Macaca fascicularis: one gene and its partner. The protein of the gene in region 1 interacts with the protein of each later gene in a biochemical or structural test. Links are inferred from orthologs where the notes say so. Each region holds a gene or a part of one and is shown on either strand. Other genes may lie near its edges.

Region 1 (10,639 bases):
AAAAGAAAGGATGAAAGCGGCAGCCGCCGCGACTTCAAAGGCCGCGCCGCCGCGCCGGGCCCTGCGCAGGCGCCGCCCTCAGCCGATATAAGGCGCGACTCGCGCGCGCGGGCGGCCTTTCCGCGCGCGTCCCCGACCCGGGGGGCGGGCCGAGGGACAAGGAGGGACTGGGCGAGGAGGGCCCAGGGCTGGACGCCGCGGCCGTGCTACCCGCCGGCCTTCCGAGGCCGGTCCCCGTGCCAAGTTCAGGCGCCTGAGAAAAGTTTTTCAGAAAGGAGGGACAAGAATGTCACGTCCTGCCCACGAAATGAGCAGTCCTGTGGCCCGCAAAATGACTCCAGCTCCCACCTCCATTCCTGCTCCATTCTAGGCATTCCCCATGCGTGGGAGCCCGGGTTCCCGTCGCGGAGAGCAGCCCAGCGACGAGGGCGCGTGGCCGGGCCCTGTCTGGCTCGTTCGGCTCCCCTGTGCCTGCCTTGCGTTGCTGGTTCCCGTGCGCTCTCCTACCGGCGCGATTCCTCGCCCTCTTGGGCAGCCTTAGGACGTGTACCCTCGCCTCCCAGCTGGCAGAGGGGCGGCCTGCAGAGCGGGGTGGGTTGCGCCCCTTGCCCGCGGGCCGCGGGAGGAGGCGGCCCTCTGGACAGCCGCGCCCGGGACCCCCACCCAGCGAGGCAGGGACGCGGGGCTCGGCCTGCACTGGCCCAGCGCGGGGAAAGCCGCAGGAGGGCGGGAGGGGTGGCGGACCCCGCTCGCTCGAGCCCCGCGAGGCTGCGCCGAGCTGCAGACGCCAACGGGCGCCGGCCCCGCGGAAGCCCGACGTCCGCAGGCGGCCGGATTTGGGAACGACTTTTTCACGGTCCCACGAGTTCCCAGATACCCCGGAGGGTGGGGGGTTGAGTTTGTTTGTCTTTAGGAGGCGGCAAGAAGAAGCGGAAGAACCCTTGGGACACAAACTGCCATTTCCCTCGCCCCCCTTCTCTCCTTTTCTGCGAGGTCCGTTAAACTGAAGATGCCCCACAGCTTTCGTCTCCAGGCGAAGACTGGGTGGGAATTCGAGGGGGTCGGAGTTCCGCCTCTGGAGTCACATTATTCGTTTTCTAGCCCTTCTCCTCGGCTCCTGAGTATCCTCTTCCGTAGGCCCCGCCACCTCCTTCCTTTGGGATCCCACCAAAGTTGTAGCTGGGAGAGAGTCCAGGCCACACAAAGGGGAAGACCTGGAGCCTGGGCGGGGGTTAGGACCGAGGGGGCGGAGAGGACTCGAGGGGCACCGTGCTTTTCTCTCGTCCTTGTAATTAAGGACTCACTGGACTGTCTGTAGCCGACTCGAGTTGGCAACAAAATCGCCGGGGGGGAGGGGTTTTCTGGTGTGAGTGGGGGTCACTCCTCTGGCTCTGCTGCCTGCTCCCGAGCTTGACTGGGCTCCGCTTACCCCTTGGGCAGCGAGGCCGTCTCTTCTCCCCGGCTCCTCTGTTCTTGTGCGGGGTGGGCGCCTCGCCCCCCACGCACAGTTGAGGCGACGGCGCCCGATGTAGAAGGAAGTGTTGATATAAAACAAGTTTGCTCCCAAACTAAACCCAAACCAAGCAAAGCCACCAGGAGGGGAAAAACCAGCAGCAATCCAGCCAGCCCCTAGCAATTGTTTTCACGGTCGGAATTAAATCACATCAAAACGCCCCCTGAAACCCACATCCTGAAGGAGTGAACCTACAACAGCCAACCTCCTCCAGTCGTTCGCTCGAGTTCACACCAACAACTTGCCTCTAACATCCGAGTGAAGGGGGCGGCGGGCGGCGGGTGCCTCTCCCGCACCGCACCCACCACATCCCGGACCTGGGATCCCACTCGCACCCGAAGAGGCGGCTGCTTATGTTAATACCAGCCCCCACACGAATTAGACAAGACCGCCCGGTGACAGAATTGCCTATGCCAGAAACTACACTGAATCCGTAAGGGAGGGGGAAGAACGTCTTCCCCGGGTTACTTCGCCCGTCCTGCGTCCTCCTGCTTTTTCCAAAAGAAAGACTTCACGTGGAAGTGTCAACCTCTCTCCCAAACGAAGCTTCACAAATTTGGGGCGCATGGATTTTACTAAAGCCCCTTCTAAGTGCTGCTCATCAGAAGATTTACAACAATCCTAAAGACAATCAGCTAACACCAGTTACACCACTGTAAGGAAAACAGTCACGCAAATAGAGCAAGGTGCTGGGTTATTTCGTTAGAAACAATGTTTTCAATGGACAGGGTCACAGTAAAATACCAAACGCAGCCACCTACCCTTGGCCCTTCAAGTAAACAGTTTCCACTATTGTTCTAAAAATTCGCATCTTCTTGAGCTTCTACCCTTCAGGAAACCTGGAGCATAGGCTCCAAATGGCTCGGGGAATCCAGAGAGTTAACATGAAGGAGAAAGTGGCATCTGAATTAGTTTCAGCACTTCAACAGCGGGGGGAATGTAAGAGTCATCATTTAATCTCTCTTTGGCTTCCAGAAACTACCCCCTAGCCATTTCTGTATTCCTCCCTCCCCCTCCTGAGGGTTTGATGAAAAGGAACCTCTAACTCTGCTTTGGTGAAACTGCATTTTCTAGTTGTTTTCCTATTGGTCAAATTGGTGCAGTTATGGGAGGACTTTTGACTTTATTTTCCCATATGTCTTTTAAGAATGGGGCTATAAATGTCTGACACAGCTATATATTCACCTCTCTGGGACACTCACACTGGTGCATAACTTTAAGGGAAGTGACATACCACCATCATCCAAAAACAAAAATTGGGTTTCTCACACACTGTAGCAGAATATACTCCTTTTCTTCTCTTGAGGCATAGCATTGTCAGCTATTAAAAGTGGATTTAATGTTTTACTTTTCGTGGATTCCTTCACCAACCCCTTAATTTTAATCCAATCTCCCAGATAGAATTTACATGTGACTACTGGCCATATTCTAGGGACCAACTGGATCCTTCGTAAAGTTTTAAAAATTGCTTCCTAGTAAATTCTCATTCCCAAGAAGTAGTAGTTATTAGTAGGTGAAGTTTTAAGTGCTCACTTAGATACAGCATTGTTAAAATCTTTACCCATTCAATATTCAGCAGCCTGAAATTTCACCTTTAGGAAAATAAGAGGAATCTTTGCTAGACCATTCCTATATAACAGAGCAAAATCTGATTCTGTAGTGTTTTCCTTATTTTCAATTTAAGGGAGATGAAGATACATTTCTTTATGTCCTTTGTTTACTGTTCTGAAGTTTTACAGATGGCTACTGTATTGGATATAATAATTTTGCCTAGATTTTTAACAGAGGGGGTTTGAGAACCAAGGGACAAAATGTAATGTGTTTTCAAACTTCAGCTTCCCTTCTGCTGTAACTTTCACAAAGTATCTCCTGAAAACTCCTGTCTTTGTACAAAATGCATCAAAGACATAGTGGAGACTGGGGAATTTTTGAGGTTGTATTCGGATTTGCATCTTCAAGGGTTCCTTTCAGCTCGCAGTCCAAGGTGCCAGGGACTACCCCGTCCTCCCTCCCTCTTTTGGCTTTGCTCTCCCGAGTCCTTTTGCCTTCTCTTCCCCCTTCTTGGATTATCTTTTCATTCTCGATGAGGTTCCCACACACTGCGGTGTGTGTCTTTGAAAACCCACGAGAGACCTAGCACAACTCTCCGTACATCCCGTGGTGAGGACAGAATGAAAGAGATATTGTTTAAAAAGCAATAATTAAAATCTAGTCTTCAGTTCCTTCTTCCTCGTCATATTTTTTCTCGGTAAGCCTGGAGATTTTATTTTCACTAGCGTGTTCCCTTGTTTCCAAAGAGCGTGTGTATGATATTATATTCGGGAAAGCCACAACTCTCTTTTCCTTGTCCTTCTGTTCTCTCTTAATAGTTGAGCAATGTCTGTTATATTTTTCCCTTTTCCTTCTTTTCTCAGTCCCAGATTCCCGCCTCTCCCCACTGTCAGAGCATCTATCAATGTGGTGTCGATCACAGCGGCGGCGGCTTTCTCTTTCATCTTCCTCCCCCGGCCAGAGCGAGGGAGGGAGAGTGGGAGGCGTCAAGGAGGTAGGGGAGAGACTGGCAGAGGAAAAGGAGTGGGTGGGTGGGGGCCAAGAAAATAGATACTTAGATGATGAAGTCAAGCCATTGCGGCAATGTTTCTTGTCAATTTCACGCGGGCAAAGCGTGCCTCTCGGTGGGTTATAAGCAGCGCCGGGTCATTCCTTCTCTCGCCAAGTTGCCTGATCCTTCCCTCCAGGCGCGCGCGCACACACACACTCACACACCCCAAAACCAATACTCGTCCTACAGGATCTGGGAAAAGAAAAAGAAAAAAAAGCCCTCAATCACCACCTCCTTCTCGCCGACTCCCCCTCACCCCCCGCCTCCCCTCCAGCGGGCAGCCAAGGAGAGCTGGAGGCGGGGGAGGGGAGAGGGAGGAGAAGCGACGCAAGTGGGTAGCTTTTCAGCGCCGGCTAGGCGCGGGAGGAGGAGAAGCAGTGGGGAGGCGCAGCAGCTCACCTGCGGGGCAGGGCGCGGAGGAGGGACCCGGGCTGCGCGCTCTCGGGCCGAAGAACCAGGACGCGCCCGGAGCCTCGCACGCGGCCAAGCTCGGGGTGTCCCCTCCCCTCGGCTGGGCGAACCCAAGGGGCGCAGCTCTTTGCTTTGACAGAGCTGGCCGACGGAGGCGTGCAGATCCGCGAGCCGGCTAGCCAAGCTGAGAAATTCGAGCCGGGAACAAAGAGGGGTCGGGCTGAGTGTGTGTGTCGGCTCGAGCTCCGGGCAGAAGCATTTGGGCCCGAGGTCCCCGCTGTGACTACCCGAGACTCCGCCGTGCCCTCCACTGCGGAGTCCCCGCGCTTGCCGGCAAAAACTTTATTCTTGGCAAACTTCTCTTTCTCTTCCCCGCCTCCTCGGCCCCCACCTTCTCCTCCTCCTCCTTCTCTAGCAGATTAAATGAGCCTCGAGAAGGAAAACCGAAGCGAAAGGGAAGAAAATAAGAAGCTCTAAAACGGACATCTCCAGCGTGGGTGGCTCTTTTTTCTTTTTCTTTTTTCCCACCCTTCAGGAAGTGGACGTTTCGTTATCTTCTGATCCTTGCACCTTCTTTGCTGGGGCAAACGGGGGCTTTTTGCCCAGACCCCCTCTCTTTTCTCGGCAAACAAACTACTAAGTCGGCATCCGGGGTAACTACAGTGGAGAGGGTGTCCGCGGAGACGCGCCGCCGGACCCTCCTCTGCACTTTGGAGAGTGGTGCTCCCTCCAGAACCGGCGTCCTCCGCGCGCAAATCCCGGCGACGCGGGGGGCGTGGGGTGGCCGCCGGGGCAGCCTAGCCTAGCGCGCGCCGCGCAGACGCCCCCGGAGGCGCCAGCTACCGCGGCCCTCGCCGCCCAGTGCCCTTCGGCCTCGGGGGCGGGCGCCGGCGTCGGTCTCCGCGAAGCGGGAAAGCGCGGCGGCCGCCGGGATTCGGGCGCCGCGGCAGCTGCTCCGGCTGCCGGCCGGCGGCCCCGCGCTCACCCGCCCCGCTTCCGCCTGCTGTCCTCCTGTACGAACCCTTCCAACTCTCCTTTCCTCCCCCACCCTTGAGTTACCCCTCTGTCTTTCCTGCTGTTGCCGCGGGTGCTCCCACAGCGGAGCGGAGATTACAGAGCCGCCGGGATGCCCCAACTCTCCGGAGGAGGTGGCGGCGGCGGGGGGGACCCGGAACTCTGCGCCACTGACGAGATGATCCCCTTCAAGGACGAGGGCGATCCTCAGAAGGAAAAGATCTTCGCCGAGATCAGTCACCCTGAAGAGGAAGGCGATTTAGCTGACATCAAGTCCTCCTTGGTGAACGAGTCTGAAATCATCCCAGCCAGCAACGGACACGAGGTGAGCGGGCCGCTGCCCCAGTTCCGAGAGGCGTGGCGGGTCCCTGGGAAACGCAGAGAGGGAGGAAGGGAGGGAAGGCGCCCGGCCGAGGGTCCCGAGTAGATCCCTCGTTTGTTTTGGGGTGTGTGCGTAGCTGGGGCCCCGGTCCGCATTGCATATATGTGTGTGTGTGTGTGTGTGTGTGTGTGTGTGTGTGTGTGTGTGTGTGTAGAATGGGAGGTAGAGGGGCAGGGAAACTTATTCCAACTGGATCAGTTTAGGGGGTTCGGTGGCTGAACGGTTGGTTCGTGGGCAGGAAAACGTGCCCTTAACCCACAATGTTTCGTCTTCGGTCTTTTTGTTGGGCTGAGGAGTGCCAGGCTTTAAAGCGAGTATGGCTGAATAACGCTACTGAGAAATTCTTCCGTGGGACGGAAAACAAAGTGCACCCGCTATCTTTTGGTAGATGTCTCTGCAAAAGTGCGTTAAACCACCAGAGGCTTAGGTGGAGACGAGCAGAGCCACAGGCAGGAGGAAGGGGAGGCGGGCGTGGGCTGGGGCAGGCGGGGCCGTCCCTACCACCGCCGAGACCGGCCGCAGGGAGCCGGCCGGCCTAGGGGGCGCGCGCCCGGGCTGCGGGGGCGGTGCGGGGTTCAGTCCCTGCGGCCCCAGAGCCTGGGCTGGCAGCTGGGAGCTGTGGGTGCGCCGAGCCGAGCCACCCCAAGCTGTACCGCCCCCAACTCTAGTTTTCTCCAACCGCCATCACTTGGAAACAAACCCACAACTTTTATTTGGGGTTTGGGACCGGATCAGGCCTTAAATCTATGTAAAAGAAAGGCGGAGAAGCGGCGGAAGCCGGACACTAGTCCGGCAGGGCGGAAGGCGCTTTATCGGGTCTTCTGGTCCGCTGCGGGCAATAGAGCTGGTAACCTGAGTAGAGTAAATAGAGACACGTGGGTGCTGGCTGGAGAAAGCGCGGAGCGGGGCCGCGCTGGAGGGCTGTTTGAAGCCTAGTCCAGAGCTGGTAGGGGGCGGATGGACCCTGATACCCGACACTCCACTGGTCACTCTTGTTCCACAACTGGGAAACCTTTCTCTGGAGGAAATCCGGTAGAAAAGTCCTGACACCCGAATGATTTAACCAACGCCTTTTCCCTCCAAAGAAACTTGAAGGATATACCTTTTTTTTTCCCTTAAATGGCATCTTTCTACCCCCAAAAAGAAAGTGTGTGGTTTTGAGGGCGGGGACATTTTGGGTTTTAAACAGCGCGTTTAAGAACATCTCAGATCTGCCTTCTCTATCCCAATGGCAGAGGTGAGTACGCATTTTGAAAGGCTGGGGGCCTGCGTTCAGAGAACAGAAGGGTGTTCTTTACCCGTTGAATCCAGTTTGAGCGGGATGGGGGCGGGAGTAGGGTGCACCTAACCCCGCGTAAAAGATTTGTGACTATTGTCTGTGCTAGGAAAAGGAGGTCAAAGGGAGGACACACGTTCCGAGAACCAAACAACATCCAAAACACAGGCTTTTTGCCAAACTCTCCTATTTGTAGAGCAGCCTCTTTTTCTACCCATTTTGCTAGTCCTGTCTTAGTCCGTAGATAATTTTGCCACCCACTTCATATTCTCCCCACTTTTCTGGTCTGGGTGAAGGACCCTGCGTTCGAATCCGAGCACTCGGGTGTTAAAGCGTTACTCTTCGCTGGGTGTTAAGTGGGCATGAGGCCTGAGGGTGAAGGAGTAATACCACTGATTTGCACGTGGTTGAGTCTGTCTGGGTGGATGGTGATTACCAAAACTGATATCAACTGGGCTACTTTTTAGATGTCTATAACCTGACTCTCTAATTTTCCTCCCTTTAACCACAGAATCGTTCTACTTTTGTAAGCCTGCGCTCAGCCAGCCATAGTAGGTTATAAGCTCGAGTGGAGCTTCTACTGAAACTGCGCTCAGGGCACTTGCCTTAAGGACTCATCTGAGTGGTTGGCTTGTTTATGTTTAAATGTCATTTTCAGTTGCAAAATGATATTTCAGCCTTCTTTTTATCAGATCTGATTGAAGTGAACAGTGGTTGAAGAGGCTATCAAAACCATCAACCCCATTAACTCCTACTCCTTTAATAGTAGTCATCCAGGGAGCCTTGATATGGCTTAATAAACAGCAGTCAGAACAGCATGTGGATCATTCCCAAATTTAACTGTATTTTTATTGGTGTTATTATTTATATGTTTTTGCTCTCGGGTGGATAATAATCACTCAAAAATACATGTTGACAAGAAAAAGATTTTGCAGTACTAAACACTAACTTATGTCTGTTTCTCAGAGTAATAAAACAGAGTTGCCCCTAAAAACCTTCCTTTGAATTACCAGTGCACACACAATTGTATCATTATTGTCACAAACTCTAAGGTGATTTTCTTTCTTTTGGGTGTGGGGATTCATGATGTTAGGTGGCCAGACAAGCACAAACCTCTCAGGAGCCCTACCACGACAAGGCCAGAGAACACCCCGATGACGGTAAGACACCCATTCTACTTCTTCTGACTTTAGCAGATAAGGTGTGCAATTTGTTATTTTTGAATTCAAGAAACTGGGACTAGGTCAGACTATGCCCACTATTTTAATAAAATGGTAAAGAAAACGCAGGAAACTTATGGCTTACCTCTAATGTATGTTACGTAATTTAAAAAGTGTTTTTGAATGAGTTAGGGACCTTTGGATTTCAAGTGGGTTCCAGATTCTTTGGGGAAGAGGGAATGTCTATAATGAGTTTTTCTCTTCCTCATCTTACTTTAAGTTCTAATTAGCTTAGATCTTTAGTATTTTTAATATATTATTAAGAAGAATGACAGTATATATTGATTTGTTTTCCAACCAGAATAGTTTTGAGTGGATTTTCACTTGCAAAATTGCTGTTTCTTGTTCCTTATTACAGTGAAAAGGCGCTCAGTAAATGAGCAGAGCAGAATCTAACTTGTAAAAACATAAAACTTATAATTAGGAATGTGCATATCAGAGATGATACACTTTCTCCGTATTTCTGATTCTTACTAAAAGCTTTAAAATTACATACATATGTATTTAGACTTAAGGAGAATTCCTTGTGACTTTAAAAGAATGAAGTCACCTTAGGGTTTCCTTGTCAGCCTGTCTGTTCTCCATTAATTACTTAACAATTGGCCTAACTGAAATGAAGTGTTTTTACATACAAGATGTTAACCAGGAGCAGGGAAGAGAGTTATATATTAGGCTTCTTCCTCAGCTACAAAATAGTTACACAGATTAACAAGAAGAAATATACATATTGAACAGAAATTTTTTGGCAAAATGATCTAAGTGTAGCACGTGAAATTAAACCTCCCAGAGTTAATCCTTTATAAATTTGGATAGTTGCCTATATACTAGATAACAACTCTTGCAGTAGAATCTAGAATTTTTCTGGAAATCTACAAGCACAGGTAGAATTTTTGAGTTTGTCTGCAAGGCAAAACATAACTTCACGTGTATAAATCTGTATGTGTGTGTAGCTAGATGGCTTAATATATTTATATTACAGTTTTAGATTTGTGTGTGTTCTGTATTTTTTAGTCCAGTTTGTTAGTGTTAGAACAAATTAAGTTAGATGGATAACACTTAGTTTTGTAAAAACATCAGTTAATAGTGGAAGAACTGTTTGAACCACATGTTTTTAAAACATCTGGTTTGCTGCTAAGCTATTTAAGAGAATAAATACTGTCAATCTAAAATAGAGCATAATAATCCAGTTACAGTATTTTGTAAACAAATCTTTTATATAAGGTCTGATTTATCTTAGAACGATTAGATTTTGAGATGAAAAATACAGTAATATAAAAGGAAAGTCATCATTGATTGTTCTTTGGATCCTCCCAGGAAAGCATCCAGATGGAGGCCTCTACAACAAGGGACCCTCCTACTCGAGTTATTCCGGGTACATAATGATGCCAAATATGAATAACGACCCATACATGTCAAATGGATCTCTTTCTCCACCCATCCCGAGAACAGTAAGTAACATGCTGATGTTGCAAATTATGTTCAGAAGTGCAAATTGATTCGTATTTTGGCAGAATGTTTATTTTTCCAAACTCATTGGAAATGCTTTCATTATATATAACTAGTCATTGCTAAATAAGAGCTGTTGTGAGGAATGGCCACCTTAAAATAGTGCTACCTTTGATGTCTTGCCTTTGGAATTTTAGCTTTTGGCTTATCGATTAAAATAAATATGTAACAGATCATAAGTTATAAAATCAAGTGAAGTTACATCAACAAATCCATGATTTTGTGAGTGTTGTACTCTCTATGGTGATAAGAGGAAAAAGAAACTGATTTATTTTTTCACCTAAATAAGGACTGTATAGCTTTTAATGCCCACAAGCTTTCTAGAACCTGAACTACTTTAGCTCATTTGGAGCTGAATGTTTGTTATGTTACTTTGGCTTTTAAAACAGTGTCTTATTTTGTTGTATCAGTCAATGTTTCCTTAGGATCGGTTTGGTGAGGATGAGTTATTTTTGCTTTATTGTCAATTGTAGAGAAAGCATCACTCAAAGATAACCCTAATGAAAGTTGTTCCTTTCTTTTAATCTTGTGGTTTAGTTAACTTTTAAAATTCTAAAAATGCAGTGGTATTATAACTGCATTATGCAAATGCATAACATTATAAAGAATTTCGGGTTTATTTGATGACATTTCTCTTAGGAAGTGGAAACCTCATTTAAGTGAGAAAACACCTAACTGGTAACTTGTGTAGTATGTAGATGTAAAATGTGCTGGT
Region 2 (10,099 bases), on another chromosome or scaffold:
TTAAAATACACTATCTACTCTGTTTAATTATTATTAGTTCTTAAGGGCTTCATCTTTAGCAGGGAAAATAATCATTTAAAATTATACTAAGAAATCATAAAATTACACAAGATACATGGAAGGAGGTATTTTATGTTCATTTGGAAGCGCGTTAAGTGTTTTATAAGGAGATTTGAGGGAATGCTTTATAGAATGGATAAGAACGATTTAAATACCTTAAAAAAATTTTAAATACAGTTCTATGTATATGTCATTTGGTACACGCTAGATTTCTGCTATTAATTATTTTAAATTTGCACCATCAGTAAATACTTCAACTTGTATTGTTTTGAAAGGAAAATATACAAGAGAATCTTTCCTTTTTTTCATCGTTTTCGTAGTCGTAGCATGTTGCCGAGGTAATGACTGCTTCCTCTGTCAATGTGTTTTCTGTCTTCTCTCCATTCGTTTTTCCAAAAGTGCGTACTCCTTCCACGTTACCGCAGACGGTCAGATGCAGCCTGTCCCTTTTCCCCCCGACGCCCTCATCGGACCCGGAATCCCCCGGCATGCTCGCCAGATCAACACCCTCAACCACGGGGAGGTGGTGTGCGCGGTGACCATCAGCAACCCCACGAGACACGTGTACACAGGCGGGAAGGGCTGCGTCAAGGTCTGGGACATCAGCCACCCTGGCAATAAGAGTCCTGTCTCCCAGCTCGACTGTCTGGTGAGTGGACAGGAACTGGTGCACAAGGGCAATTTCTCCCTGGAGATTCAATAAGGAAATAGCTGTGTGGGCCTGGGTTTTATTCCCATTATGAGGAAATAGAAGCCCCTTCTGTTTCCTGTGTTGGGTATTTAACCCCCTCGGCCCCCCGTTTAAATGCGAAGGTTTCATTTGTTGCTGTTGCACTGGCTAAATCCCAGAGTTGATGGATTTCTTTTTATAAAATATTTTACACTGGTTTACAGAGGCTCTCCTTGTGTATGGATGTACATTACAAAAGGGGGTTTCCCATTTAATGGACAAAAGCACAACTTGGCCTGGACTCTGGTCCCTGCCATCCACTCAGTTTTTAATTTCCCTTTAGCCTTTAGATAAATATAGAATAGTAAATTTTTTTTTTTTTTTTTTGAGACGGAGTCTCGCTCTGTCGCCCAGGCTGGAGTGCAGTGGCCGGATCTCAGCTCACTGCAAGCTCCGCCTCCCGGGTTCACGCCATTCTCCTGCCTCAGCCTCCCGAGTAGCTGGGACTACAGGCGCCCGCCGCCTCGCCCGGCTAATTTTTTGTATTTTTTAGTAGAGACGGGGTTTCACCATGTTAGCCAGGATGGTCTAAATCTCCTGACCTCGTGATCCGCCCGTCTCGGCCTCCCAAAGTGCTGGGATTACAGGCTTGAGCCACCGCGCACGGCCGAATAGTAAATATTTGATAACATGGCATAAAAACCATTCTGAACAGGGTAAGGTCTGTGTTTTTAAGGGAGACCTGAGAGAGCTGGTTAGGTTTTATGACCTTCACTTCAGGAAAGGGTTAAAGGCTGTCACTGCAAAGACCGGGGGCAGCCATCAACAAAATAGAGCGGTGAGAATGCGTTCCCAGAGTTCCTAAGCCATGTCCGCTCAGAGCCTGAGAATACCATTTTGCATTTTTCAGGGACATAAAACATGTTGGGACATGTTCCAGTCTCTAAACCATAACCCCAGGATTTACAGAGCACATACCGCTGGCCTTAAGCAGACTCCGAACTGCCCTGCCCTGCCATGCCCTGGCATGGGGTCTGCCTGTGCTCTGCGGTTGCAGATGGTGCGGTGTACCACTGCCTGCCTGGAAAATTGTAAGGATTCCGGAGAGAGTGTTTCCAGAAAGCTGAGTGGCAGTGTTTTTGAAACACAGACTTGTGTTTAGAGTAGTTATTAGTGCCTTTTTTAAAAAAACAAATAACTTCAAAATGTCTTCATTCATGAAACTTATATTTAAATATGGCCCAACATTCTATAGCAGTGGGAATATCCTTTGTTGAAGTCACGTGTCTAAGGTTTCTTTAATCTTTGAAAGACAGTCCATCGTGAAAAGCACTTAAGCGAACTTTAGCCATATCTGCATCTTTCAGGGGTTGATCATATGAGGGCCCCCCACCCCCACCCCCTTCATATGTGTTGGTTTTGATGGCAAGGTGCCTACTTTTATCAGGTTCTTTGGCCTTTGCATTGAGGGGCTTAGATATAATAGCAGCCACATGACAACTTGAGAAAGCAGCTTTGGTAAGTTATTAGCAAGAATCCCTCTGACTAATGAAGTAATGTGCTCAGCATAACGAAGACCAAAACATAGACGGGGGCCTGCAGTGTCCAAGCAGTAAATGATGCAGGGTGATGAGGCAGATGTATAAACGAGCTTGGAAAAGTGGTTTCTTCTCGGGGAACTGTGTGTACACCTGGACCTCATACCTAGATAGTTTCAGCTCTGTGATGCAGGACACCAGAAACAGTTATCTAAGCTCCTGTGAATTTGTTTTGTTTACTGTTTTGAAGGAGACAGTTGTGCTTGGACCCCAATCTTGACTAGAGATCTCTTGCTCTGTTAGAGTGTCCGTGAAATGTCACTCTTTAACTCAAAAAACCAAGACAGCCATTAGAGAACATGGTGCTATGATTGCTCGGTAATTCATTGTAGCAATGAATTCTGTTTATTTTACAGAACAGAGACAATTATATCCGTTCCTGTAAATTGCTACCTGATGGCTGCACTCTCATAGTGGGAGGGGAAGCCAGTACTTTGTCCATTTGGGACCTGGCAGCTCCGACCCCACGCATCAAGGCGGAGCTGACATCCTCGGCCCCCGCCTGCTACGCCCTGGCCATCAGCCCCGATTCCAAGGTCTGCTTCTCATGCTGCAGCGACGGCAACATCGCTGTGTGGGATCTGCACAACCAGACACTAGTGAGGTGAGCAAAGATGGTCGTCTAAGGAGGGGTTCCCTTCTTGAGCAGCTGGGCCTATTACCTCTGCTTCTCTCTGGCTGCCCGCAGCCTGCACAGTAAGATCCTCTTGAATGCCAGGCATGGGGTTAGATGATGGGGGAACAAAGACAACCGTGTTGCTGCCTTTGGGGGGCTTACAGTCTTGCTACCATGCCTGGGGTCACTGAGACGTTCTATCTCCTTATAGATAGTCTGTATATCCTATAGTCTGTATGTCAGCCCGCATACAGACTCCAAACTTGTTCAAAAAATATTTCTGGCTTTTGCCAAGGGGTGGCCTAATGTGAATTACACGGCAGCACAAAGGGCCCTTGCTACTAGATGTTTTGGGCTTTGGCTAGAACTTGGTGCAGACAAGAGCCAACTGATAAAAGATAACAGAAAATCAACAAGGAGACATGAGAAGAGCAGATTCCATGAATTTCACCCACAAAATGGTTTTAAAGTATCTCAATAATGAAATAGGAGACCTGCCCAGGGGTGGTTCCACTCAGGAGCCCGCAGGGTTTTACCTCGCGTCCTGGCATTGGCCCTGTCCCCTTAGCAGCAGCTGCAGTTCTGGTACCCTTGTGTCTCTCCTCAGCTCCCCCACCAAATGCCCCCTTCAGAAGTCAGTGCTCACACCAGAACTGTTCTCACAAAGTCTTTTTAAAGTAAGCACGAATGAAACATGAAAGGTAAAATGAAGCACGTGTTTTACTCTTGTTTCATCTTCACTGGGAAGCCATCCCTGCGGATGGTGCAGTTTGGGGTCCATGGCTTGTTTGGTAAGTCCCCTCTTGTGCTGCCCAGAGAAGGCACGGGCTCCAGAAATCATCATGACAGCTCACTCTCTTCAGACCTCTGCTGTAGAAATCCATTAAGTGTCATTGAACTGGGCCCGGTCCCTGCGTGTGGGCGACAGTGCGGCAGTTATTTTCCTCTTCCGTTTGCTGAGTAGTGTAGGTGAGCAAAACGGAATAATGGAGCCAGAGCCGAACGCCCTCTCAACCTTTTATCCTAGCAAAGTGACTTGTTTTTTCTTTTTTTAAAACTCCCTAAGTAGGACTTTCAAAATATCAATTCCAAGCACTTTTCAGATATTCCTCCACTTAGTCCTAATGACACTGTCCTGCTATTTGTCCCATTTTATAGATGAAGTGCCTGAGGCTCAGAGAGGGTAAGTTACTGGCTTCAGGTTGCACAGTCGGATGTGGTGGAGTCAAGCTGGGGCCCAGGCATTCTGCTGTCTTCTCTGTGCTGTGATCCCTTGCTCCATGCCGGCTCCTGGGGAGTAAATACCTGTTGGATAGGATGGGGTAGCATCTTACAAATCTTTCTCTGGACCGCCCACAGGTGGCTAGTGGCTGCCGCCTGTAACAGGGCCATGCACAGCCTATTGCATGTCTTTGTATCCATCGTAACCCAGCACATTCTGAACAGTCATAGGATGTGCCTGAGAGTCATGCTGAAGTATATGGATGGAGGGAGGGCAGCGGGATGGGAGGCAGCCGTCAGGTACCATATGTCAGCAGAGGAACGTGTTTTCAGTCAAGGGGGAACAGCGTTTAATGAGTTAGAAAGGTCCAAAGAAGTCAGAGGGTCAAGAGATCACTGGATTTCCAGAGCGGTTTGAAGGGAAGAAAAGCAACACTTTCAGCAAGAGACGCAGCGACTGCTCCAGGCCTGGGTGTTCTGTGGGGATGTCTGGGAAGCGAGCAGAAACACTTGAGGTCCACCTGCACGGCCGCAGTAGAGGAGAGAGGACCAAGCCTGGATCCTAAAGTGCAGAAGTTGGGAATGGCTTGCAGAGAGAAGATGTTTAAAGTGATGGTTCACATCTTGGCTTAGAATTTAGGACAGTAGTGGTGCTTTTTCCTTCCCTTGCACTCTTTAAAATCCAAGCTCAGGTTAAAAGTTTGGAGCTCTATGGGAATGATAAGGTGTGGGGATCCCGGAGGAAGAAGCAGCGTGGAAACTTTCCTCTCGGTGTTGAAATTCTCACGCAGTTCTTTACTGGATCCCGCCTGGTTCCGAGGGTGGGTCTAGACTTTGTTCACCTTTTCTGGCTGCTCCCCCACCAGCTCCCTCTCAGCATGCAGAACTGAGTCCAGGATGGTCGCCATCCCTGCTGGGGCTTACAATGACCTCCCCTCAGCCGCTCTGCTCATTGCCTTGCACAGCATCTGTGCTCAGCAGATCCCTGTTAGCTGATAGTTTCTGGTGGCGATTTTTGAATGAAGCACAAGGTTCTGCTTTAAAGAACAACCTTGTGCTCAGCTTGGAGGCAGAGTCTTTCTGAGGTGCCCATGGCAATTACCTCTGTCTCTGCCCAATGCCTCTGAGGTCAGGAGGCTGGTATGCGTGACCCTTTGTCTCTGGGAGTCCAGATTTCCTAATGCAGGGCTCTTTCTAACAGAAAGCAAGGTTGAGTAAATACATGAGCTCATGCTCTGTTGGCACGTAGAGCATTGCTGTGTTGATCCACTCATGGAAACAGCAATGCTTCTGTCCACTCTGCTTGTAACGTCCCCGTTTCTTTCTCTCATGGATTCAGGCCTGCACGATTAAAGAACAGACCTTTATCTTTCCATAAGGAATACAATTGGGATTTTGTGTGTTTGTCTTTTATTTTCTATTTAACAATTCAACACTTTTCCAGAGCTGGCAAGAATTGTACCTTGCAGATGGATTTGTCAGAGTAGTGTATTTAACTTCTGGGTAGTGACCTGCACTGGCATATTCCATTTCTTTAGCACTTGGATCGTGAAAAAAAAGGAAAAACAATCAGCAGGTGCTGTGTCCCCTCCTCCTCGGGGGAAGGTTAGTTTGATCTTGCACATCAGCAGACACTGGTGGGATGACACACACACATGCACACACAGGGTCCAAAACTAACAACACAACAGTGTTTACCTTGAGCTCTGGCAGGAAATCATTATTCAATCTGGTTTGTTTTATCAGGCAATTCCAGGGCCACACAGACGGAGCCAGCTGTATTGACATTTCTAATGATGGCACCAAGCTCTGGACGGGTGGTTTGGACAACACGGTCAGGTCCTGGGACCTGCGCGAAGGGCGGCAGCTGCAGCAGCACGACTTCACCTCCCAGGTGACTGAGTGACTTCCGCTTGCCCCAGAGTCTGGGAGGTGCTGGGGTGTGTCTTCCTCCTTATACCCTCCCCGCTTACCCTAGGATGTTAGTGGCTGGACAAACAGATCAGGGCCGAATTTGAGATAACTAATTTAAAAACAACGACCACCACCTCCTCCTTCACGACCCTCCCTACTACCTTCCCCAAAACTCCTAGAGTGGTTTTTAGAATCCTGTAGATTAAGGGGTGTTCGCTGTTATATTTATATATGAGTTTGTTTAAGGGATTTGTATGGTGAGGAATATATAGTTTTCCTTCAGCAGTGTTTGATCGGTGGCACGTATTCTCACCATCTAATGTAGGAGTAGGAGATGATTTTTTTGATTCCCAAATAAATAGAGCTTGAGAAATCTGCAGAATGTCACTAGGAGTGGAGAGAAGTCACAGCCCCTCTGAAAGTTCATTTATTTCCCCTGCACCAGAGAGCTTAAAAAAATGCAGAAATACCTCAGTGATATGCATTTTATTCCTCATCCTTTAAAAAATGAACTCGTGGCTGACTAGATTTGCAGACTTTTGAAATAATATATAAATGGCAGCTTTGTAGATTGTGAAAAGTATTTTGATGTCCAGTGTCTGAGTGTAGACTTGTTTTGGAAAAAACAGTGTTTGCCGTTTTAAATGCTTTCTGGTGGTAGAATTGTTGCTTTGATCATGACTTGGCAATTTTTTTTTTTTTTTACCTTGTTTTGTAATAAAAATAATTCTACTCAGAAAACTAGGACAGAAACAGAAAACAAGCATATATACTTCTAAATTTCATATTCTGGTTAACATTTTGTTGAGTTTCTTAGAGTCTTGCTGTTTTACCTCTTTCCTAACATAAGTAGGATACAATTTTTGGTCTGCCTTTTTTGTTTTTTTTTAAACTTCTTAGAGAAATTCTCAAATACATATGAGTACAGCAAATGTCCAAGCAGTTATGAGAGTACAGAGAATTGTACAATAAACGCCACATGCCCATCACTCAGCTTTAAGTTATTTGGCCGTGTGATAACTCTTGTCCCCATCCCCAAACACTGGATTATTTTAAAGTAAATTCCAGACAGCATATCATTTTATCCATAAGCACAGTCATGCACCATATAACCTTTTGGCCAAGGACAGACCTCAAATGTGACAGTGATCCCTTAAGATTATAATACCATATTTTTCTGTACCTTTTCAATGTTTAGATATATCTGAGTGTACAAATACTTCCCATTATGCTACAGTTGCCTACAGTACTCAGTACAGTAGCATGCTGTGCAGGCTTGTAGCCTACGAGTGATAGGCTCCCCCATCTAGGTGTGTGTAAGTGCACTCTGTGAGGTTCACACAATAAAGTAACCTAATGAGGCCAGGCGCAGTGGCTCACGCCTATAATCCCAACACTTTGGGAGGCCGAGGCGGACGGATCACGAGGTCAGGAGATCGAGACCATCCTGGCTAACATGGTGAAACTCTGTCTCTACTAAAAATACAAAAAATTAGCCGGGCGTGGTGGCGGGCGCCTGTAGTCCCAGCAACTCAGGAGGCTGAGGCAGGAGAATGGCGTGAACGTGGGAGGCAGAGCTTGTAGTGAGCCGAGATCTCGTCACTGCACTCCAGTCTGGGTGACAGAGCGAGACTCCGTCTCAAAAAATAAAGAAATTAAAAGACTGGGCGCAGTGGCTCATGCCTGTAATCCCAGCACTCTGGGAGGCAGAGGTAGTTGGATCCAGGGGTCAGGAGTTCGAGACCAGCCTGGCCAATATGGTGAAACCCCGTCTCTACTAAAAATACAAAAATTAGCCAGGCGTGGTGGCTCATGCCTGGAGTCCCAGCTAGTCAGGAGGCTGAGGCAGGAGAATCACTTGAACCCAGGAGGCAGGGGTTGCAGTGAGCTGAGATCGTGCCACTGCACTCTGGCCTGGGCGACAGAGCAAAACTCCATCTCGAAAAAAATAAAAAAATAAAAAAATAAAAATAAATAAAAAACAAAATAAAGTCACCTAACGACACATTTCTCAGAACACATCTGCCTCGATAGGTGATATATGATTGTATTTCAGTTACTGTCTCGAAAAGGTAAGGCCTGCTTTAAAATGTACACATGAATGCCATTATTATTAGGAATCATTTCTTAATTTTATCCCAAAGGACAGAGGGGTTCAAATGTTTCCAGTTTCCTAAAGGTTTTGACACTTGGTTCATCTGCGTTAGATCACTTGCCCTGTGGCCCTCCCCACAGTCTGGACTCGGATGATTACCTCCGCCTATTCTTGCTCTTTCCCCCGCTTTCACATTGCGTCTTCCCTTCCTAAGTGTATCAGGCGGAATCATGAGTGAACCTGTCCTGCTCCTTGCAGATCTTCTCCCTGGGCTACTGCCCCACAGGGGAGTGGCTGGCAGTGGGCATGGAGAGCAGCAACGTGGAGGTGCTGCACGTGAACAAGCCCGACAAGTACCAGTTGCACCTGCACGAGAGCTGCGTGCTGTCCCTGAAATTTGCTTACTGTGGTGAGTTCAGCCGAAAGGAAACTGGCGGTCGTTGATGGCCCAAATGGAAAATGCTTCTTAAAAAAATATGGTAGAGATCATATCTGGAAACAGTGTTGTTCTTTGAGCAGCTGGATGCAATAATTCCATTGTTTTAATATGCCCTTCAGAGCACAGCAATGTCTGTTTCAGTTTGTTTTGCTAATTTGAGAAAAGTCAGCAGGCAATGATGTGATTGCCTAATACAAGGTTTGGACACAGGTTTGTTTCAGTGGGGGTTGGGAGATGACAATGAGTTTCCACTTTGTAGAGGGGTGGGTGGGAATTTACTGAAGAATGGGGCAGGGGCAGTGGAAGTCATGAGCTGTCCGTGATGAAGAATCCAGGGTCAGAGAAGCGGATATTTAGGTGTACCCAGACACTTAGTTACACTCTACAGTGAGGTTGAAGACGGAAGAAGTTCATGTGGAGACCCTTCTTGTGCACTGCAGATGGGCAGATACCTGTTCACAGGATGCAGAGGTGGACGGACGGACGGACGGACGGATGGACGGATGGATGGATGGATGGATGGATGGATGGATGGATGGATGAATGCCTATCACTTATTGAGCATTTTTCTTCGTGCTATATGATGTGACTGGCATTTTACTTAAGTTAGATGTTTAATCCTGTCTAGTCCCATTTTATCATGGGAAGACTGACTAAAATAGAAGACATTCTTCATTGATTCTATATTTGAGGGTTACCGTGTGTTGGATATGATGCTACTAGTCCTGTATCCAGTGACTAAGGAGGCTGACACCTCTTAGATTATACCCAAGATCACACTGATAAATCACTGAGGAGCCCAGATTTAAAACCACTGTTCATGTCACGGACCAGTCCCTTAGGGCATGATAGTTCATACATTAAAAATGTTCTTAGTTTGATTCAGTCCCAGTTGCTAATTGTATAAGTAGGAATTTTAACCTTGTGAAAACGAGATATTCCTTTGCTAATTCTAGGTAAATGGTTTGTAAGTACTGGAAAAGATAACCTCCTCAATGCTTGGCGGACCCCCTATGGAGCCAGCATATTCCAGGTGAGTAAGTGCTCCTCACCTAGATCCACAATTTCACCACAGTGTTGCCTTTGAAACCAGGAGTGAAGGCGCCTCAGAGGGAGCGGGGCCTCTGAGTACCGTTGTTCCACATTAAACACGTGTTCATTGTTTTCTCTTCCAGTCCAAAGAGTCCTCGTCAGTGCTTAGCTGTGACATCTCTGTGGATGATAAGTACATAGTCACTGGCTCAGGGGACAAGAAGGCTACAGTCTATGAAGTCATCTACTGAAAACATGATGTGGTTTAACGTTGATAGTTGAATTGGGCCAAAATGTTTCGAATTTGTAGAAATAGAAAAGTTGTAACTTTAAAAGAGAAAAAAACATACAAACACCTGTTTCCAAACCTTGACACGAAACTACTTTGAGTCTACAAAGAGGAGGCGACAAGTCCATCAGCAGAAAGTCACCTGTCTACATAGACCAAATGGAG

Evidence for each region.
Region 2: the proteins of LEF1 (region 1) and TLE1 form a complex in vitro, tested with the Homo sapiens proteins (2 studies listed by BioGRID and IntAct, with this or other methods). The link is inferred for Macaca fascicularis from reciprocal best matches to the Homo sapiens genes LEF1 and TLE1.

What each region holds. Positions count from the first base shown.
Region 1 is NC_088379.1:113,776,789-113,787,427, reverse strand, and holds the start of LEF1 (lymphoid enhancer-binding factor 1), read left to right. Parts: upstream 1-4,483; 5' UTR 4,484-5,652; coding exon 5,653-5,865; intron 5,866-6,339; exon of another isoform or gene 6,340-7,150; coding exon of another isoform or gene 7,151-7,159; intron 7,160-8,291; coding exon 8,292-8,358; intron 8,359-9,732; coding exon 9,733-9,866; intron 9,867-10,639. UniProt on the Homo sapiens protein: Transcription factor that binds DNA in a sequence-specific manner. Participates in the Wnt signaling pathway. Activates transcription of target genes in the presence of CTNNB1 and EP300.
Region 2 is NC_088389.1:112,227,850-112,237,948, reverse strand, and holds part of TLE1 (transducin-like enhancer protein 1), read left to right. Parts: intron 1-459; coding exon 460-709; intron 710-2,684; coding exon 2,685-2,932; coding exon of another isoform or gene 2,933-2,936; intron 2,937-5,911; coding exon 5,912-6,059; intron 6,060-8,432; coding exon 8,433-8,583; intron 8,584-9,569; coding exon 9,570-9,646; intron 9,647-9,788; coding exon 9,789-9,896; 3' UTR 9,897-10,099. UniProt on the Homo sapiens protein: Transcriptional corepressor that binds to a number of transcription factors. Inhibits NF-kappa-B-regulated gene expression. Inhibits the transcriptional activation mediated by FOXA2, and by CTNNB1 and TCF family members in Wnt signaling.